4 linked regions of the Drosophila melanogaster genome follow. The protein of the gene in region 1 purifies or fractionates together with the protein of each later gene. This does not show direct contact. Each region holds a gene or a part of one and is shown in the gene's direction. Other genes may lie near its edges. The genes, in order: Sbf, Pi3K68D, Vamp7 and Rab35.

Region 1 (5,194 bases):
CGGAAACGGGTTCCCTCTCCCCGGCGGCAAGCAACCACGAGGTGGAGGTGCCGCGAACTCCTAGCACTCCCGGTGTTTCCAAAAAGGTTCAGCTGGTAGGTGCATATTTTCTATTTACCGCATAAAAATTGGGTTTTGGGTTATCTAAGTTGCTGAGTAAACCGGAAGAGGAAATCTCTCTTTTCAAGCCTGCACAAAGTAATTGGGATTTTGTAACAGATCAAATTATGCTGGTAAGTTACTCACTAACAACATTCATATCATATCATTTCATTCATTTTCTCGGAATATGTGTGTTTAACTTACTTTAATATCTGCAAGCAAGTAAACCCTATTTCAACGGAATCAAATAAAATGGTAAGCCTTAAAACGAAGTAAAATTATAAAATAAGGGTAGTATCCACGCATGAAGTAGTACTATGGGCCTTTTTGAAGTAGAAGAAATACTTAATAATTTCAGTGGAAGATTGAAGTAGAGTATTGCCAGTTTAAAATATCTATCTATACATAATTTTGTAATCTCAAGATTAATGTTTAAAAAGCCTGCCGAGAAAGATTTCACGGATAAAGCATTATCAAATAATGGAGATAGTTCAAAGCAATCACCGAGCATTAAATTCAAAGCAAATAAAGTGGCAGATGTAAATAGATCTCCTCAGACGGCCAAGAGGTGCTCGAAAATAAGGTTTGCTAACGAAGTTGGAGTAAATGGTTCGCCCACTCGAACGAAATGTAAAATAAAACCAGAAAATGTATTGGGTTACTCTATAGAGGATGTGGATGAAACAACAAATCCAGAATCGCTGGCTGAGGTATGTAAAACTGATGCAAACTTTTGATTAATATCTATTGTCAACGAGCTTACAACGCATTATGAATCATTAACTCTCAAAGTTAACATACACATTTTCTCTCCTATCTTGTAAATCCCAAATAAGAGCATTCAAAAGCCGAAGTCGGTGCGATTGGTACGTTTAGAATATTTTAATTACATAACCCCTTATTTCAATCAAGATATAATATCTACCGATTTGATTGATTTACAGCCCAGGGAACGTGTTATTGACATGTCACCGGAGGATCAGAAGCAATGGGAGCTCGAGGAAATGTTGAAGCCCATCGATTTGCAGAAGGCCAATGTCCACATCGATCCCTCGCCATTTCAGCTGGTGGAACGCACCTCCATACTCAAGGTTCACTCGTTGTTTTCCATGGTGGGTATTAACCACGCCTATGTCACCAAAATCGGAAGACTTGTTGGTGTCGTGGGACTCAAAGAAGTAAGTCTTGTTTGATATCCTTGATGATTATAACAATAACACATGTTTTATTAAACAGTTGCGAAAAGCCATCGAGGACATTAATAGCAATAGTTTCGTGCCCCCCACACGGGATGAGGATGCGGATGAGAAGCCGGCGGTGGAGAAACCTCTGCTGTCGACGAACTCTAGTGATAAGGCCGTGGACATGACCGTCACCTCCATGGACTCGGCACTATCCAATTCCGAGAACTGTTCGGACATTGAAATGGAGCACATAAAGCACACGGATAAGGGCACTGTATCGCTCACCATGCCGCCACAGGAATCTAAGCAAAGTCCATCGGCGGACAAAAGTAACACAGAAAACGGAAATCATGCTTGAAACAAGATGATCGGCCATCATAATAGTTAATACGATACGTATACGTAATATGTTTGTAAAGATCAGCTAAACACATCTATCTTAAGTTACGTCTTACACGAGTTAGTCATCAATGTTATTATGTATTTATATCTCGTTAGTTCATAATGTGAAAAATATCGTGATTTATATTTAAGTTGAAAAGAAAATCAAGTCACCAACGAAGGCTGCGTTTGATTTTTATTTATATACTGGGGAGTATTAATGTAGTATACAAGTTTCCTATTTTTCCAACAGATTAATTATATTATAATTTCCCCAAAATTGTTTAATGAATATTTAAGGCTAAGTGGAAATTAATTTTGCCATTTTCCAATTGATCTTTTAAGTTCGCGCCGATTAATTTGTAGCGCAGTCCGAAACTATCGATACATTCAAAGCGCCAATCAAATATCGACACATTCAATCAGCTGATGCAGAAAGTGTTGGATAATTCGTGAAAATTATTGTGTATTGCATCTATCTTTTTCTATGCGAACTTAAAAATAATTATTATAGCCCCGAATTCTTTGAGATTTGCTGGCAGTTAGCGGGGATTTCGGCTGCAGCCGGCTGCGAGGTGTGTGCGCGGATATATATATATAGATTGGCCAGTCCGATTCCCGGCGAACGATCCCACTTTGCGTGGCGGGGTGTGGTTAAAGAAAAAAGAGTGAAGACCAAGACTCGTAAAGCCTGAAAAACGCCTCCGGGCGCTATAGACAATACAATAACAATTCGGCCCCTCGATCTCCGTGGAGCTAATCATTTATGCCGAGCGCAGAGACGGAGCCTAATTAGCATATCAAATTGGATGACGGCACTGGCGAATAGAATCCATCTGCCGCTGTCCCCTGCTACAAGAACGCAACAGAACAAAAACAAAAAAAAAATCAAAATAAAACATCTTCAACTCTTTGTTCTCCTAGATTTGGCTAGTAAAGAGCCGTAGGATCCTAGACGACTGGCCGGCTATGTGGTGGGCAAGATGTCCCGGCTCGCTGATTACTTCGTAATAGTCGGCTACGACAGTGATAAGGAGAGTGAGTACATCCACATGCCCATCAGCCATAATTAGCAATTCTCTGACATTCAACAATTTCCCTTTTCCCAGAAACTGCCAGCAATGTGGGCGGCCAGCCGACGTGCGGCAAGATCGTTCAGCGCTTTCCCGAGAAAGATTGGCCGGACACTCCGTTTATCGAGGGCATTGAATGGGTGGGTGCGCTTGAAACATTCCTCACTTAATTCGAAGCATATCTGAATTTTAACTTATCATTCCGACAGTTCTGCCAGCCGCTCGGCTGGAGTTTATCGTACGAGAAGCAGGAGCCCAAGTTCTTCGTCTCTGTGCTGACGGACATCGATGCCAACAAGCACTACTGCGCCTGCCTCAGCTTTCATGAGACGGTGGCCATCACACAGACGCGCAGCGTCGACGACGAGGATGAGACCATCGGCAGCAGCAGGCTGCTGGGAGCCACACCCTCATCGATGGATGGCATCACAACGACATCCACGCCGGCTTCCATTACGCACCACAGCGTCATGTATGCACCAAAGTGTCTGGTGCTTATATCGCGTTTGGACTGTGCCGAGACCTTTAAAGTGAGTTTAAAAGTCAGACCACCTAAGATACTAAATTAAGCCATTATCTTAATTTACAGAATTGTCTCGGCACCATATACACGGTGTACATTGAGAACCTGGCGTATGGATTGGAGACACTCATAGGAAACATTCTGGGCTGCATCCAAGTTCCTCCAGCGGGTGGACCGCAGGTGCGCTTCTCTATAGGAGCAGGAGACAAGCAGTCGCTCCAGCCTCCGCAGAGCTCCTCCCTGCCCACGACTGGAAGTGGAGTCCACTTCCTCTTCAAGCAGCTGGGCATCAAGAATGTGCTGATACTGCTTTGCTCCGTGATGACAGAGAACAAGATACTGTTTCTTTCTAAGTGTTATTGGCACCTGACGGACAGCTGCAGAGCTTTGGTGGCATTGATGTATCCCTTTCGGTATACTCATGTTTATATACCAATTCTGCCGGCTCCACTCACGGAAGTGTTATCCACACCTACGCCATTTATTATGGGCATACATAGCTCACTGCAAACTGAGATTACGGATTTACTGGATGTTATTGTGGTGGATTTGGATGGCGGCCTCGTTACCATTCCCGAGTCGCTGACGCCGCCTGTTCCTATTCTTCCATCACCGCTGTGGGAACAGACCCAGGACCTGCTCAGCATGATCCTGTTTCCAAACCTGGCGCAGGCCGATCTGGCGTTTCCCACATTAGAGCGGCCTTCAGCTATTGCTAAGACTGACGCCCAGATTGATAAGGAACTTCGCGCCATATTCATGCGCCTTTTCGCTCAGCTGCTGCAGGGATATCGCTCCTGCCTGACTATCATTCGGATCCACCCAAAGCCGGTGATCACCTTCCATAAGGCAGGATTTCTCGGCGCCCGCGATCTGATAGAGAGCGAATTCCTGTTTAGGGTGCTGGACAGCATGTTTTTCACGACGTTTGTCAACGAACGAGGCCCTCCCTGGCGATCCTCCGATGCCTGGGATGAGCTCTACAGCTCAATGAACGAACTGCTCAAATCGGAGGCGCAGAATCGAAATCTCGTAGGTAGAACTCAAAGATTCAAGGGATATTTTAATTTTACCTTTCCTTCCTACTTTCAGATACTCACACATATCCAGGAATTGGGACGAGTTCTATATGAAAATGAGGGCACTCTGGCTCACATCAGCTATGCCCAAAAAGTACTGCGTCCGCCGGAAGGCGCATTCCAGCGTATTCATCAACCAGCCTTTCCGCGCATAAGTTCGGAAAAGGTTGAGCTTATCATACAGGAAGGGATACGAAAGAACGGAGTGCCACAACGCTTTCATGTAACACGTAATCAGCACCGTATCATTCCGATGGGACCCAGGTTACCCGAGGCATTAGATGTGCGTCCCAATGTCCAAAACTCGGCTAGGCGACTGGAGGTGCTGCGGATCTGTGTGTCATACATCTTTGAGAATCGAATTACAGATGCCAGAAAACTGCTGCCGGCTGTGATGCGCACCCTAATGCATCGGGATGCGCGCTTGATCTTGTGCCGCGAGTTCTTTGGATATGTGCACGGCAACAAGGCAGTTCTGGACCATCAACAGTTTGAATTAGTTGTGCGATTCATGAACAAGGCGCTGCAAAAATCATCCGGCATTGATGAGTACACAGTGGCTGCGGCTCTGCTGCCCATGTCCACAATCTTCTGCCGTAAGCTCTCGACTGGAGTAGTGCAATTTGCGTACACAGAGATACAGGATCACGCCATCTGGAAAAACCTGCAATTTTGGGAGTCTACTTTCTTTCAGGATGTCCAAGGTCAAATAAAGGCGTTGTATCTGCTTCACCGACGTCAGAACGAGCATCAAAAGGAGGCCAACTGTGTGCTGGACGAAGTTCCTCTAGAGGAGCCCACGGCGCTTGAAATTACAGCCGAGCAGCTGCGCAAAAGTCCCAACATCGAGGA
Region 2 (5,174 bases), on another chromosome or scaffold:
AACTATGAGCAGGAGATCGAAATGATAGATTCTTCATATAAGTAAGTTTTAACCAGCTGCTGAAATAATAATGCAAATGAGTAAGAGAATTTAATTTTATGTCCAGAAAACAAATCAAGGTGCTGGAGGAGCACTTGTCCGTCGTAGAGAAACGACTCAAGGACGAGAATAGCGAGTTACGGCAGTACTACATCGAAAAACTGGAGAAGCAGAAGGAGGACTATGTGGAGCAGATTTCCAGCCTGCGACAAGATCATGAGGATGAGGTGCGCAAGCTGCGTCAATCCCACGAGCTGGACCTCGAGGGTATTCGTCAGGCTAAAATGGTGGAGTTGTCGGCGGTGCAGGATCATGGAAATTATCTGGACACATTGCGTCTGGCGTCCAGCAATCTTCAAGAACTTCGTGACGGGATGAGTGACAACCAGGAAAGGGAACGGCAGTTGGAGGCGCGAGAACGTCGCCTGGCCGACCAGGAAAGGCGTCTAAAGATGGACGAGGAGACGGCCGACGATGAGAAGCGCCGCCTGATGGAACTGGTGAGCACCTTGGAGCTGCAGCTGGGCCGTTTGTCCAAGGAGTCAGCCGAAGAGAACTGGCAGCTCCGTCAACGAATGTCCAGCTTGGAAGCGGAGCGCAAGGCTTTCGAGCGCGAAAAAGAATTCCATCGCGAGCAAATGCAGCGGGACGAGAAGCGTGTGGAGGATCTTAAAGCACTGCAGCTTGCGGAAATGGAACGACTGCACCACGATCTCCAGGAGGAGCGCAATCAACTGACAGTGGAACGCCAGCAGATTGAACTAAGACAACAGCTCAATGAGCACGGCGACCCAGACAGAGATCGCCGGGAACTGGAGGCCCAACTGCAGGTGGCACGCGAAGCCATTCGGCGGGCGGATGAGGAGCGGGATCGCTACCACAAGCTGCAGCGCGAAATGGAGCAGCGCAAGCGCCATCTTCTGGATAAGGAGCACGCCCTAAATCTCAAGGAGGACGAACTGGGCCAAGCCACCGGCGCCTACCGCCTAGCCACTAGTCGCCAACACTTGGCCGAGCAGAAGGCTAGGGAGGCGGACCAGCTGCTCCAGGCCAAGCTTAAGGTCATGGCCAAGCGGGCCCAGGAAATCGCGGAAAAGGAGGCACAGCTGGCCCACGAACGAATGCTGGTGGCGCAGGATCGTATGGCTTTGGTCAATCTGAAGAAGCAGATTTCTCGCAGCAGGTGTGCAATCTGCAAAATGGGTGCGGAATCGGCGGAAATCGCCCAGCGAAGGGCAAATGTAAATCCCACAGCAGCCACCGATCTTCAACTGCCTCAAGTGACACCCAGTCATGCGGAGCTGCTGCTTAAAATGTCCCAGGAACCGGGACAGGTCCAGAGTGACATTGTGGATCGAATGCTGGACGAAAACATCGAAGCCTCCTACCGCAGGATGTACAATGCGCCCCCCAGTAGTTCAATCGATGATCCCGACTATCTATTGACGTTAGCTGGTGGGCTGGACGACGACTCCAAGGTGGCCATGGATCACGGCCTGAATGTGGACGAAGCATTTATGTAGATATTGTGGAAAAATTTGTGGAAGCACAAATAATAACAACTGAGATAAATAAATGTATTACTTGGCAATTAGTATAAGTTTTATAAACAAACTATGAAGATACAAGATTACATATCGCTCGAAAGTTAAGTATTTTGTTATTCGTTAGAAACTCAATAAATTTGAATTGATGGAGTGAAACCCGGCTACATGATTAGCCAATACTCAAACATCTGTTCGATGTATCTTTCATCGATAGTTGCCAAACAATATCGATTCGTTTACCATCGCTACTGCTTGTTGCATTCCGTTTTGTGTTATTTCGTGCTGTTCGTGTTTAAAGTTCTTGCGCACAAGATAATTGTTTTTTTTTTATTGTAAATTAACTGATTTGTACATAATATGTGATGGTGCAAGAAAATCTAAGAAAATAACGTTTTGTTCAGTATTTTGGTGTTGCGTCTATTCCGTTTTTTGTCACTGTTTTCTGTTCGTGTTTGTGTATGGTCGTTTCGCATGTATGTGTGTAGGTGTTTAGGTGTGTAGGAGGATAAAACAACTCTCCTAAAAACAAAAAAAAAACCTTTGGTTAAGTTTAAATTAATTGTGATTCGTCAAATATAACAACAACCGAGGATAAAAGTGTAAAACTATTAACCGGATGGTCTATGTTCGTAGCCCCGTCAAGGGAAAACCTCAACCAAAAAGAGACTAGCAACGGGTGTAAAAAGCAGCGGAGGTGACACCTCAAAAAGCAAGTAAGTTGGCAATATGCGGATGAGAATCACAAAGCAGAAGTCAAGTCTGCATATTAATGACTATCTCCATTATTATTTTCTTTCGCCCTTCCACCGATATTCGTTTTTTTTAAATTTTATTCTTACGTTCTCCGGAATAAATTGGCATTCAATTGGGTTCATTTATTGTTTATGAATATTGTTTTTAAAAATTTTTTCGCAATCTATTGATTTACCTTAACCTTTGCCGCACGGAACCCTCTCTTTTGCTCTCTCTTCCTCGCTTCCTATTCCTAGCCGGTTCGCATTTTCTTATCTTCCATTCCGTCCCCGTTCGCGACACGGACTCACACACACACTAGTGCTTTTGTGGGTGTGTTTATATTAAACAGCTGTTTCCTATCTGCATACGAGATTGGCTTCAATGGGGAAAAAATCAAAACGCTTACATGCTGACATATATATATACGTTTATATTGCATATATTCGTATATATGTGTAAAATCTGGGAAATCAGTACTCGCAGCATTCATTCACGCAAATTGATGCCGCCGCTTTTGTTTGTTTTTATATATTTATTTACAATCGCGCACTCAATTGCGCCTTTTTGCGCCACTCTGCTGTATCGCAATCGCAAATTTGGAGCGCTTGGATATGGTTTCTATGTGCAAAGTACACAAGTATTTACCACATTTGTATGTACAAACAATAAGATAAAATGTTTTGCTGATGTTTGTACCGAATGTCGAAACTCTGCTAATCATACTTAATATCATGCTTGCATAATGATGTTCGAACTTTTCTATTAGAAGTTGATATTTTTTAAAATATAAAATTAATTCCTGTCCCTGCCCTGGCTATCACAAATCCTTGTAATTACGTTTTAAATGCAGTTGTCATATCCTTTTAACCATTTCGAAGCTTACAAATCTAATAAAGCGATCAATCTGTTCTCCCCTATTTTCTGAATTTCTGAATCATTGGTGCCCGCTAATGACGGCTCATTATCGATCGCGAATATTCCTTTGCAACTTAAAAAAAAAAAACTAGTGATAGGCACCCCCACTCTGTCGCAAGTGGTCTTCCCCCCATCGAATGCTATCTCACCTGTTCTTCGTCCAGGTACTCATATAGTACCATTGCCATTTACACTGCATAATCACTTTTATCACCGCCTGTTCGTTATCGCAGAGATAAGCAATCCCAAAAGCAAACACCTTTGTTCAACAACAAATAGGCATTGGAAGAGAAAATACGAAAATAATTTTAACAAAATTTGGAAATCGCTCACATTTTGTTCTGGTTCCCATTCGCAGCTCAACGGACCGGACGCTTTAGACGAGGGGATAATGTCAAATCAAGCGCATATCGACTACGACAAACAATTCCAGGATGACCTGGCCAAGGCGACCGCCCTGAGTCTAGAGCAGCATGCCCTCGATGACTACAGGCGAAACAAGAAGTACGGCTCCGGGTATCAGCAAAGCTCCACCGTTGCTGGCCGAGATTACCAGGCGGCGCAACGTAGTCAGAGCCTACATCAACCACGACGGCACTCGGAGGTGCATCAGGTGGCCATCAGTCCGGAGAATGCGGAACGATCGCGCACACCGCCGGCCCAGGGAACGGATAACGATCTGATCTGCTTCGCAAGTCCCACCAGCAAGCAGCCAGAGAGTAGCAGTCCCTTTGGCAAACTTATAGAGGATCTGCAGCGGATGCAGCCGACCAATCCGCAGTCGGCCCTGGTGCCAATGGGTCCAGTTGCGTCGGCTTCGATTCCTCCTCAATACGGCTTTCCACCTCATCAGCAACGTCCAACGGCTGCTCAGCCCACACCGTACGGCATGGTTGCAGGTGGAGTTGTTGGTGGACCGGCTTACGGTGACCTGCAGTTGGTGCCTTACCAACCAGCTGCTCAGCAACAGAGGCCACTAAACAGCGAGGAGCTGCAGCGGCTGTACAGCATGCCCGCTCAAATGGCCGTGGTTCCAGTGCCGCAGCCAAACGCCTATATGTACTATCCCGGAGCTGTGGTTACTCCATACACGGCTCCCATTGTTCCCGGATCGGCTGCTTTTATGCCGCCGCAGTATCCCGCACAGGGATATGGCTTTGGAGGTGCTTACACGCACATGGATTTGCGTCGACCCCAATCGCAACCAGCTCCCCAACAAACAGCACCGACAACAAGTCATCATCACAGCCAACCGTCCAACCATTCCACTTCCTCCCCCGCAGAGGCCAATGGAGTAGCCTTCCCAGCGCGTCGCCAAGTGCCCTCGACTGTCGGGGTTAGCTCTAGTAGCCACACTGGAAACAATGGTCATTCCTCGGTCCCACGCAGGGGCAACGATTTGATCGACCTCAACCACGAGGACTAGTATGTATCCACTAGTGTTCAGAAATGATTAGTTCGTGTTTTTAACATTCAAACATCCTGCTTTGCAGCTCCCGTGTGAGTGTGCTGGAGGCATTCGATCCCCTGCTAAACGACAATACTGGTAAGCAGCCTCAATGTTGTAATTAACGTGTAGCTCCCGGTCCTCGTTGAAATCCCCCCACATTTTTCGCACCGTAAACTAAACTTGAAATACAGTCGAAAACTCGTGTGTTGCGATTTTTGGCCAGAGCATTCATTTGAGCTGCAAATAAAAATTATTGGCATAATAACATTAGTGGATTTTTCAACTCAATCTCTAGGAGAGAGGAATATTAAATTGAATAGGAACAAGCACACGATTTTGTATTTGTATGGTATTTACTAATAGGTTTTATTAATTTTATATTTATCCCATTATTTGTTTAGCAACAATTAGTTTGGCTAGATATACGAGATCCTTTTTAGAATTGCCCGTAGCAAGTTGTCGCTCGCCTTTAGTTAAGAATTAAACTG
Region 3 (3,853 bases), on another chromosome or scaffold:
CGGTACAAGCGAAGGAGCAGATCAGCCAAGAACACGGTGGCTACAATGCGAATAGAGGTGTCTGCAACGAATCACGACCGTAAAGATAATTTATGGCGTCCATCGGTCATCACTCACCAATATAATCTCCTATCATCTTTCGAAAATAAAAATATTTTCTGCCTTTTTCCGCGCGAACCGCGTTCCCCGCTTCGACAACGTTGCTAGCGATTGCCATTTCGTCTGCATACATATGTACGTCTCAAGGGTTGCCAGATCGATTTGGAGATCTCGCGAAAACTTCGCTGGAATTTCAAATGCCGTTAAATTATATATAAATTTGTTTATTGGGCTTGCATAGGTATACATAACTGAATTTGGGCTCCTAAATATTAATTACATTGCGTGCACATACAAATGCACATATTTATGTATGACGGAAGCAATGAAGGAACTACATTGTTATATCTTTTTATTATTATTTACTTTTGTGTTTGTTTATCAGGTATCAGATAAGATTTTATCAATATAGCCTCAAAGATTCGTTAATCAATTTGTATTCGAAATAAAACTTTAGGTAACAATGTCCGGTTCCGACTATCAGATACATATACAGACATGAAATCTGCTGACTGTAAAGCTCTCCGCCCTCTGGAACAAATATTCGTGAGAGCCGGAGCCAGCTCTAGACTCCTCCCAAAAACGCATATTGTTATTCTAGTGTCTTTGGTAAGAGGGTATACTAGATTCGTTGAAAAGTAAGTAACAGGTAGAAGGAAGCGTTCCCGGCCATGTAAAGTATATATATTCTTAATCAAGATCAAAATAATAAAAAATAACAAAGATAATTAAACATTAACAATGGTTAACCAATTGGTGGTTAATTAACCATCAACAATGGTTAACCATTACGCTCTTACTCTGCAACTTAAATACTGATAGCTACACCCTAAACGAATTATAAGATTTGATAAATGATCTTATTTAAGCATGCTTATTGTGTTCTAATATTAAATTCTATAGAAACCTTATCCTGTAAAAGGCTCAAAAAAGTGCAATCGTGCCATATTTGTGGCCAGAATAAATGAGAATTCTAAGTCTTTTAAAATAAGTAATTTTAAATCGAATATTTCGGCAGCATATGCGCATATTGAAACTACGTATATTGTATCTTGCGTGTGTACATAGTTTAAGTTATTACCTGCGGTTTTTTCTGTCAAAACGAATGGATCCAGGCTCAAAGATCTCAGGAGCAAAAGCTTGGGAACGCTATTAATTTAAATTTACTTTAATGGAAAATTCTTTGTCCGGGGAGAAGAATCTCAACTGGATGAACTGATGCTCTCGTCAATACTGAAACGCTATCGGTGGGATGCCCCTATTTAAGTTGCGGAGATCATTTAATTTAATAAGCAAATGCAAATAATCATAAGACCGTATAACATAATTTGTAAAACACGTTATGCAGTGTGACCGTGCGATAAAGCCAGACTTATCGGCTCCATTAAATATCGATGCGTCGATGTACCGTCCTTCCACCTCTAATTTTATAACTGCATCGAAGCGTCAGCAATTGTTGTTATTTGTAATGCAAAAATCGAGCTAATTCCACGGTATTGTGATGTTTTTATTGTGTTCGGCAAAAGCAATTGAAAATCGATAATAACTTAAGCCGCTTACCACAAAATGTAAATCTGCAGTTGCGCTATCAACTCGAGGCGGATCTAATTGGATAAACAAAGCAAGTACTTTGATATAACAATTTGCATATTACACATATATACGTATGTTACTCATAAACAGAGTTATTGTTCAGATTGATAGGCTCGCAATTGGATAGTAGTAGTTTCTAAATCGATATGTACATTTCTCAGAATCCGAGAGCACGTCATCATTGACGGATCGTCGGCTCATTCCCCGATAAGCAAAACAAAGCAGTAGCCTGAGGAGCTGAACAACCGCGCCCTTAGCAAAGGAGAATCTGTGGCACCATGCCGATACTATATAGTGTGATATCGCGGGGCACCACAGTGCTGGCGAAGTTTGCGGAGTGCGTCGGCAACTTTGCCGAAGTGACGGAGCACATAATCGGACGGATCGGGGTGCATAACCACAAGATGACCTACACACACGGAGACTACCTGATCCACTACACCTGCGAGAACAAACTGGTCTACATGTGCATCACCGACAACGTGGGTGAACGAACCACTGGCCCAATTAGCCACCTCAGTTGCTTATTGCCCAATCGATAACGTATCGTTTCTTTGTAGGAGTTCGAACGGTCGCGGGCCTTCCTCTTCTTGGCGGATATCAAGCAGAAGTTTATCCAGACTTACGGCCTACAGGTGGCCACCGCCATCGCCTACTCCATGAACACCGAGTTCTCCAAGATCCTGGCCCAGCAGATGGTCTATTTCAGTCAGTCCCGGGAGGTGGACACCATTTCGCGAGTACATGGTCAGATTGACGAGCTTAAAGACATTATGGTTAAGAATATTGGTATGAAGGAAGGAAAATCCGTATGTTCTTTTTGTTTACTATTCCCTTTTCATCCCATTTGCAGACAGCTTGCGGGATCGCGGCGAGAAACTAGAGCTGCTCGTCAACAAGACCGAAAACTTGAGCAATAATGTAAGGTGATGCCAAGCAGAGACTTTTAAATGTGTTTTTCATTTGATCTCTCTTACAGTCCGTTGCATTCCGTAAGGCCTCCCGAAATTTGGCTCGTCAAATGTTTTGGAAGAACATCCGCGTCTACGTGGTGGTGGGTCTGGTGATAACCTTCATCGTTTACGTGATTGTGAGCATGGCCTGTGGTGGCCTCGCTTGGCAGTCCTGTGTTTAGGACAAGCTTTAAAGTTGTTTATATTGTTATAGGCTCATAACACATGTATATTTGCATATAAAACTCTACAGTACTCTCATCTATGTTCTATGTAATAAACTTCAATGTATACCGGATAAAGTGTTAGAAGAGATAATGGAATATTCACTTGTCCTCCACATACACGACGTCGTTGGCCTTCACCTTTCCCGGCAGCCGAAGTCCCATATGAACGCCCAGAGCCGGCGAACTGTAGTTGAACAAGCGATAGCTGTGGATTCCAGATATGAGGGTCGGGTTTTGTAAGTCGTACTTCTCAGATATTTCCATGGGTAGTGACTCACCTTCTGAGCGTTTTGAGAGGCTCTCCTTCGGAACTCCTCTCTGCGGTCTTCGCATTAATGTTGGTAAAAATACAGCGAGTGCATGGCGCCACCGTACGGAAAACAGCATCTTCGCCTATACGCACCCACTGCCAATTGTCCTCGGCATAGGGCTCATCAACATCCATTTTCAGTTCGAAGTTACCTCGGAACTGCAGTGCATCCACCGGATTCTTTAACCGAGTATTAAGATCGGCGACCGACGAAAGGTTCATCAGCATAAAGCTGGTGGCATCGTTAAAAGTGCCCTATGGAAAGAATTCAAATCAAGGGTGATCTGGGTCCTAACACTTCGAATTGCGCATCAGGAACATACCGAGTCCTCCTGTCTAATGAATGGCATGGACTTTAGGCGGGGATTGGTGCATCTCACTGGTTTCGGATAGGGATAGTGAACTAGCTTGAGGCCGCTCTCCTTCTTCAGGATGGCCTGGGAGAACCACGTGTTGATCCGATCTCCGCAGGGCATCACGTCTATGGAAACGCCCCAAACGGAAGTTTTCACATCCTTGCCAGGACCGTCCAGCTTCTCGAAGTCCAGCTCCAGGTCTGGCATGTCCTGGGCGCTGAACACAAGCTTGCTGGGCGACACCTTCTTCGACTTGATCTGGGTCATAAGCGGATACACCCGAGCCGTGATCATTTCGTTCTTTTCATTGACCAC
Region 4 (6,589 bases), on another chromosome or scaffold:
AGTCGCGTGGTGACCCTCTCCGATGATCAACCATCTACTTCTGCGGGGGCACGCGCTTTAGCCGATCGTGGAACTCGCACATTTGAATCACAGGGAACGCAAACAACATTTCTCTCAAGTGTAGTAACCTCGTTTCGCTCTGCTACTGCAACTGCGACATCATCCACATCCACATCCACATCCACATCCGCATCGACACTTGATAACCAAGAAAACACTGAGCCGTCCACATCGAATGGACGTCGTCCCTGGCGCCCTAGATACGTCTCGCCGCCTAGACACGTGTCGGATAGCGATGACGATAGTGATGAATATGATAGTGATGAATATGAGTCGAAGAGGCGCCAACTTACGCCCACTGCCGCTGCGCCGTCGAATGGCAGGCGTCTGTTGGGCTCCATCTCGCCGGAGCCGAGCACTCCTGCTCCACGTGTCTTACGTCGCCGCACTTTGGCCAACAGGCCTTCCTCACTCGCCAACATGGATATATCCTGTGTGGCCAATAGGACCCGCCACCGCTTGTCCAACCACATGGCCAGCCGCAAGGATTAGGAGAACAGATGACATTACAATAGATCACACTCGCACAAATCCATGTACACGGCAAGATCAATATGGATATATCCTGAGTGGGCAGGATACCCGCAGGGACTAGGAGAACAGATGACAACATCACGATACATAACACTTGCACATTCCATTAACCATCACATCGACTAGGTTGTGGACCAAATGCGTGCGTTTGGTTCGCACCCGTTATTCTCTATTTTCCGCCTTTTGTACATATAAAATTCCATTAAAATCCTGTTCTCCTAGCGGTATTCGCTAATAAGATGCATTTACCATTTATTTGCTTTGTTAAGTAAGCTAAGTAAGTGCTCCTTTCCACACGTATAAATAACTTGTATACATATTTACTTTAAGTAGCTGTAGACATTATTTTCCCCATCTGACTTTCTTTTCAGCAGCTCGCAGTGCCTACATTATTTCAATTACTCTAAGCATTACATTTTTTTGACTAGCGATCTAAGAATCCCTGAATCCAGTATCTGTATCAAGAATCCCAGTATCTGAACGCTAAAATGAAATAAATAAAATTAAAATATTTGAAAAATAAGTTAGAATGATTTTATTTGGATGTTGAAAAAACTTCTCAAAAGTTGTAAACTACGAATACTCACTTTCATTAAGAGTATAGCGTTTTGCTTCTAGTTAATACCCGCTACAAATCGGTATGAAAGTATATAATATTTAGTTTTTTTTTTGGTATTAATATAATATGGGCTTTATAAGTGATTATTTGAAGATTTTTTAAAAATCGCGCCATTCATAATAAATAAGTGCTGGATATGGCCAAAAGTTTATGCACAGGTGGCAACGTTAGCAACCCGCTAAACGGCAACACTTGCGATAATGTTCTCTAAATATATCGATACATATTGATATTAAAAAAAATTGCCAGTATTAATTTATTAAACTAATTTAATTTTTTGAGTGGGCACATTGCATATTTAGTTACAGAAAAATTCGACTTTATGCTCCGGCTAAATGAATCGATGTTTGTGGGGTACTATCTATCCTAAACTATCGATAGCATAAACATCGCATTTGGTTCCGTCTCTAGTGTGGGTGCGTTAGCAATAGTTTATCCAGAATATGAATTAACCAGAATTAATCCGCAACGCCGACGCCCACAAATTCCCACAAATCGTCGTCCTTTCAGCGCTGCAAGAGCAACCCGGAAGCTGGAAAGTTCGAGACCGCCGAGAAGCCCAATATAAATTCAACAGTCAGCCAGAGCTTCACTCCTGTGTGTGTGTGCGTGCGTGCGTATGTGTTCGTGTGTTGTGTCTGTGCTACAGTGTTGGAGAGAGCGAGACGCACGATTGCGAGGGAGTCGAGCTTTGCGAAAATTTGCCAGCCTATATTGAAATATTTTCGGCACCAAATCGCCGTCTTATCCGCCAGCAAGCCATTGGATCTGATGGAAATGAGCCTGCCGCTCGATTTCTCTTCGCAAATCCGCTGTTAAAGCAAAAGCAACAATTGTACCAGTGGAGCCAAAAAAAGAGAAACACACCTACCTAATCAAAGGAAATTAAATAACAAGGCGGCGGCAACAACACTTACATAAATTAACTCGCAACGCAACAACACTAATAACTATAGCTTATCACACAGCAACAAAAACATCAGCAACAGCAGCAAAAACAACAACAACAACAGACCAGCAGCCAGAAAGAACAACAGCTTATCTCAGATATTCAGCCGGCTGCACCAGTGCGAGCGAGAGGGTCGTAGCTTGGGGCGAAAGAGAGGGCGCTTCCGAGAGAGTGCGAAAGAGAGAGAGAGAGAGAGTAAGCGCAGGGAGTGTGCTCCTGTGTGTGTGAGTGTGGGAGCAGGCAGCAGAAAAAAAGAAAACAAAAGTATATTTTGCATTGTTCGACGCGCCTAACTGTAAATATAAAAGCACTTGCAAAAACAAGGAAAAACACAGAAAAACAGCGAAAAAACGTCGAAAAATGGCACGCGGCTTCGATCATCTATTCAAGTTGCTAATAATCGGCGATAGCGGTGAGTTTCCCAGGCATTCCCGTTTCCCACAGACCAGGTGCTTAAAAATAGCATCGAGTTGAAAATAGCAGGTGTAAATTGCAATTTGTCCCCGTTTCCTGGCCAAAAACGCAGTTGTCTCCACCTCCCTTTCGCATTACTGCATCTGATTACCATTAATGTATGTTACATTTAAAATGCTAACGCCAACATGGCGTATGAGTAATGTTGTTTTCAGTTTCCATAATACTTTCAACATTCGTCAGCTTCTTGTTTCTATACTCAATGTTTTTGGCATACTCAACATGTGTTAGGTTGTACTAATTTTATATATTTAATCATAAATGCAAAAGCACTTTATATCAGTCCTGTCCTCCTCCTAACGTAGCTATCTACATATTCATTTGGGCGTATTTCGAGAAAGGTGGTCTGGCTCGGGCAAAACCAGGCTCATGACTAATGGTGACGCACTGGCAGGATATACAGCTTGATATGCGAGCAGACCAGCTGCGGCGGTAACCGGAGCAGGAGAACACTCCCCGCTCCACAGCAATGTCATATGCCGAATGGGCTTACTTGTGTGTAGTAACGATATCACATTTTTGTAATACGAATCCCATTCCATCTTTCCATCTGATCCCCTGCAGGCGTGGGCAAGTCGTCGCTGCTCATCCGGTTCTCGGACGACACATTCTCAGGCAGTTACATCACCACCATCGGCGTGGACTTTAAGATCCGCACCGTGGACATCGAGGGCATGCGCGTAAAGCTGCAGATCTGGGACACGGCCGGGCAGGAGCGCTTCCGGACAATCACCAGCACCTACTACCGCGGCACCCACGGCGTCATTGTCGTCTACGACGTCACGAACGGCGAATCCTTTGCGAACGTCCGCCGCTGGCTGGAGGAGATCCAGAATAACTGCGATGTGGTTAAAAAAGTATTAGGTGAGCCTATATCGTATTACGCACAGAATTGGTTGACCCGTACTGAGAAGTAGTTGTTGGCTATGCCAAGCGGAGCTTAATTAGTAGACAACTTACATTATCGATATAGACTCATGTTTCGATTCCTCAACAGTGGGCAACAAGAACGACGATCCGGACAGGAAGGTGGTCATTACCGAAGACGCGCAGCGGTTTGCGAAACAAATGGACATCGAGCTATTCGAGACATCTGCCAAAGACAACATAAACGTGGAGAACATGTTCTTGTCGATTACGCGACAGGTGCTCGATCACAAGCTGCGCACCTCCCCCAACGAGCAGCAGAAGGACACGCTCCATCTGAAGCCCAATCCCAAGGGCAGCAAGGGTGGGAAGTGCTGCAGGTGAAAGCGGCTCCGGCACGGGAGCTGGCATTGCAACTGGACCGACGGCGACGGCGGCGGCGGCGGCGGCGGCGGGACGGGAATTGGAACTGAAATTAGGACCAGGACCTGGATCAACTTCGGGGGCGGACGGAATCGTTGTGGGGGCGCGTAGTTTGTAGGGTTCTTGGCTTACGATTCGACACAGACACTCACTCACATAGACATAGCTAACACCACCAAACAACCAACAACAAGAAACCACACAAAGCAAACAACACGAGACAACTGAACAACACTCACACCCACTAGAGACAACAATTTTTTTTGTTTTGTTTTTTTTTTTCCTCCTCAGTTTTATTCGGAATAATGCCAGATAGCCGTAAATTAAAGTGTAAAAGTGTAAAGCGCAATTAAATGTATTTAGCAATTTATATACATATTAATATATACATACATAAACAAAATTGAAACAAATTGCATATTTATATACAAGAATATATTTATATTTCAAACGGAAAATTGTATTTACAATAACAAGAGCGACCGCAGGAAAAGGCACGAGGACGCAAACGCCTCGCTCGCTAGCTAAGCTACGAAACACATTTATAGAAATATATAAATATATATACATAGATATACATATGTGGGGAGATCAAATTATTGGCTTCCGATCGCGACTCTCCACTTTTAATACTCCCATAGTTTAAAATTTAAAAACGAAAGCTCTGATCTGCCGACTATCAATCGCGAAAGACACGTTTTGAATGAATCTGAAATTTTATTTGCTTGGAGTGATGCTTTTAAACATTTCGTTGCTCTCGGAAACTGCCTTACTTGTTAAGATTTCATTTGATATTATTGCCGCCATTCCGTGATTGATTTAACTGGATAAACTAAAGAACTTCAGGGACTGTTTCCAATTCTTTTGGATGTGCTTGCTTAAAATGAAAAACCTGAAACTGTCAGCCAATATGATTTCCAATGCAAATTTTCTGAAGAGAAATAGTTGTAGGTAATGTTTGTATCTATTCGAAAACCGGGGAACCAATACTCCAATTCTCTGATATTATATACATACATTACATATGTACCCTCAGAAAGAATAAAGATTGATCTTTGGAAAAACACGATTACTTGCGCTCGGACTGTAATTCAAAACCATGTTTTTAATCCATAGCTATGTTGAATATGTCCAAAATGTAGCCACTTTTCATTTAAGTCCTTAGGCATTGCTGATTTAAAATTAAATAAGATATGATTGGCAATCAACATTTTGTGGCATTCTTTTATGCCACAAATGCATTTAATACATCGCTACATTTGTATTGTATCTAAGTTAAAAACGCACCAAATCGCACTGCAAGCACGTTCGTTATTTTTGGTAAACTTTCCCGATTTTACAATTTTTGTTAGCTTCTAAAAGTAGTTGCATACTCTTCGGCGACTCTATGAAACGAGTGAATAACGTAGTAACGAAGCGCACTAGAATTTATATTTATATGTTCACAATGTACATATGGGTTCGCTTTGTGGTAACCATATTTATTCTGCTTAAAAAACCATTCGATTCATAGATTTATTTTAAATACCACAATAATCGATTTCGGTTCCAGTATATATTTATTTATATGTAAACCTTGAGCTATACCCAAAATTCAAAGACTATGTTATTGCGTTTGAATACCAAAATGAATTACCTAGTTGTGGTTTGGGCTGAAAAAAGCTTTCAGAAAGTGAGGCAAACTCATAGTTAAATACTATTCTCGAATATGAAACCTATATTTCATACCAACCAAAAGAAAACTATATATTTATATAAATGTATATATATATCTATATATATAGATGTATATATTTATCGATCAAAATAAAGAAGGCAATTTGATTTTCTAAAATGTTTGGTCTTTTGCATTTAGCCGTTAAGATTTTGGGTTGGATTTCGGTACTAAGACAATCAGTAATATAATCTTTATATCTTTAAAATGGAATTTTTTCCCTTCTGCAGTATTTGAAAACAATTTGTTTAACTTTTTTATGATGTATTCAGTTGTTTGTGACTTTACGGATCCCAGAAAAATAGCACATTGTTTATGATTATTATTTACTTGTATTATTTATTGTTTTTCAACGCATTTTTTATCGCTTCTGTTGGGGAGAGCACGAGGTTAGGGCAACGACTAGTACGGGAAGTGGGCAGATGCGGATTGGTGCGGATTGGGATGGGGATTGGCTGGGCGGATGGTGACTGGTTTGGCAGGCAGTGCGGCTCCGGGACTATACGACTCCCCATCCCGCCTCAGTGGTACTTGGCCACGGGAAAGGTGCGCGTCTGGCGACAGGACACCAGGGCGTCGCCCGACTGTCCCTGTGGACAGCGGCAGACAGCCAGGTGGGCCTTGGGCTCGCAGCTGGCTCCAGTGGCACACTTGCCGATGCAGGGATCGATGCACTGGTAGTTGATGCAGGCGCGATGGTCGGGGCACTCGTTGTTGCTCAGGCACTCACCCTGTGGACGAGGGTAAGTGGGTTAGTACAGTAGTTATGCCCCATTATAATGGAGAATGAAGAAGAAGAAGAACTCTATTTAAAATCGAAATACAGACAAAATTTCGACATATTTGCCGTTTCCGCTTAAGAGAGCGTTCGTCACTAGTTTGTCAACTCTTTTTTGGTATAATTAAAAAGTAGAAACAGTAGGAAGAACTCTATGATTGGGATCACCGG

The links.
Region 2: the proteins of Sbf (region 1) and Pi3K68D purify together in Drosophila melanogaster (affinity purification with western blotting; one study listed by BioGRID). This does not show direct contact.
Region 3: the proteins of Sbf (region 1) and Vamp7 purify together in Drosophila melanogaster (affinity purification with western blotting, with the first as the bait; one study listed by BioGRID). This does not show direct contact.
Region 4: the proteins of Sbf (region 1) and Rab35 purify together in Drosophila melanogaster (affinity purification with western blotting; 2 studies listed by BioGRID, with this or other methods). This does not show direct contact.

Annotation. Positions count from the first base shown.
Region 1 is NT_033777.3:11,793,892-11,799,085, reverse strand, and holds the start of Sbf (SET domain binding factor), read left to right. Parts: upstream 1-2,137; 5' UTR 2,138-2,242; intron 2,243-2,591; 5' UTR 2,592-2,650; coding exon 2,651-2,705; intron 2,706-2,776; coding exon 2,777-2,880; intron 2,881-2,949; coding exon 2,950-3,270; intron 3,271-3,329; coding exon 3,330-5,194. Other genes in the region: ClC-a (chloride channel-a), read left to right, coding at 1-95, 189-233, 322-357, 543-812, 939-968, 1,047-1,280, 1,339-1,644.
Region 2 is NT_037436.4:11,786,666-11,791,839, reverse strand, and holds the start of Pi3K68D (phosphatidylinositol 3-kinase 68D), read left to right. Parts: upstream 1-1,826; 5' UTR 1,827-1,918; exon of another isoform or gene 1,919-2,219; 5' UTR 2,220-2,299; intron 2,300-3,594; 5' UTR 3,595-3,627; coding exon 3,628-4,661; intron 4,662-4,729; coding exon 4,730-4,782; intron 4,783-5,174. Other genes in the region: twy (twitchy), read left to right, coding at 1-41, 107-1,562.
Region 3 is NT_033778.4:9,840,168-9,844,020, reverse strand, and holds Vamp7 (Vesicle-associated membrane protein 7), read left to right. Parts: upstream 1-1,518; 5' UTR 1,519-1,720; intron 1,721-1,795; exon of another isoform or gene 1,796-1,853; 5' UTR 1,854-1,970; coding exon 1,971-2,174; intron 2,175-2,252; coding exon 2,253-2,481; intron 2,482-2,545; coding exon 2,546-2,613; intron 2,614-2,671; coding exon 2,672-2,827; 3' UTR 2,828-2,941; downstream 2,942-3,853. Other genes in the region: sting, read right to left, coding at 1-61, 118-217; Marc (mitochondrial amidoxime reducing component), read right to left, coding at 2,972-3,077, 3,151-3,437, 3,506-3,853.
Region 4 is NC_004354.4:20,154,881-20,161,469, reverse strand, and holds Rab35 (Rab35), read left to right. Parts: upstream 1-1,597; 5' UTR 1,598-2,522; coding exon 2,523-2,574; intron 2,575-2,941; exon of another isoform or gene 2,942-3,112; coding exon of another isoform or gene 3,113-3,131; intron 3,132-3,200; coding exon 3,201-3,500; intron 3,501-3,633; coding exon 3,634-3,887; 3' UTR 3,888-5,704; downstream 5,705-6,589. Other genes in the region: Phf7 (PHD finger protein 7), read left to right, coding at 1-552; aspr (asperous), read right to left, coding at 6,162-6,371.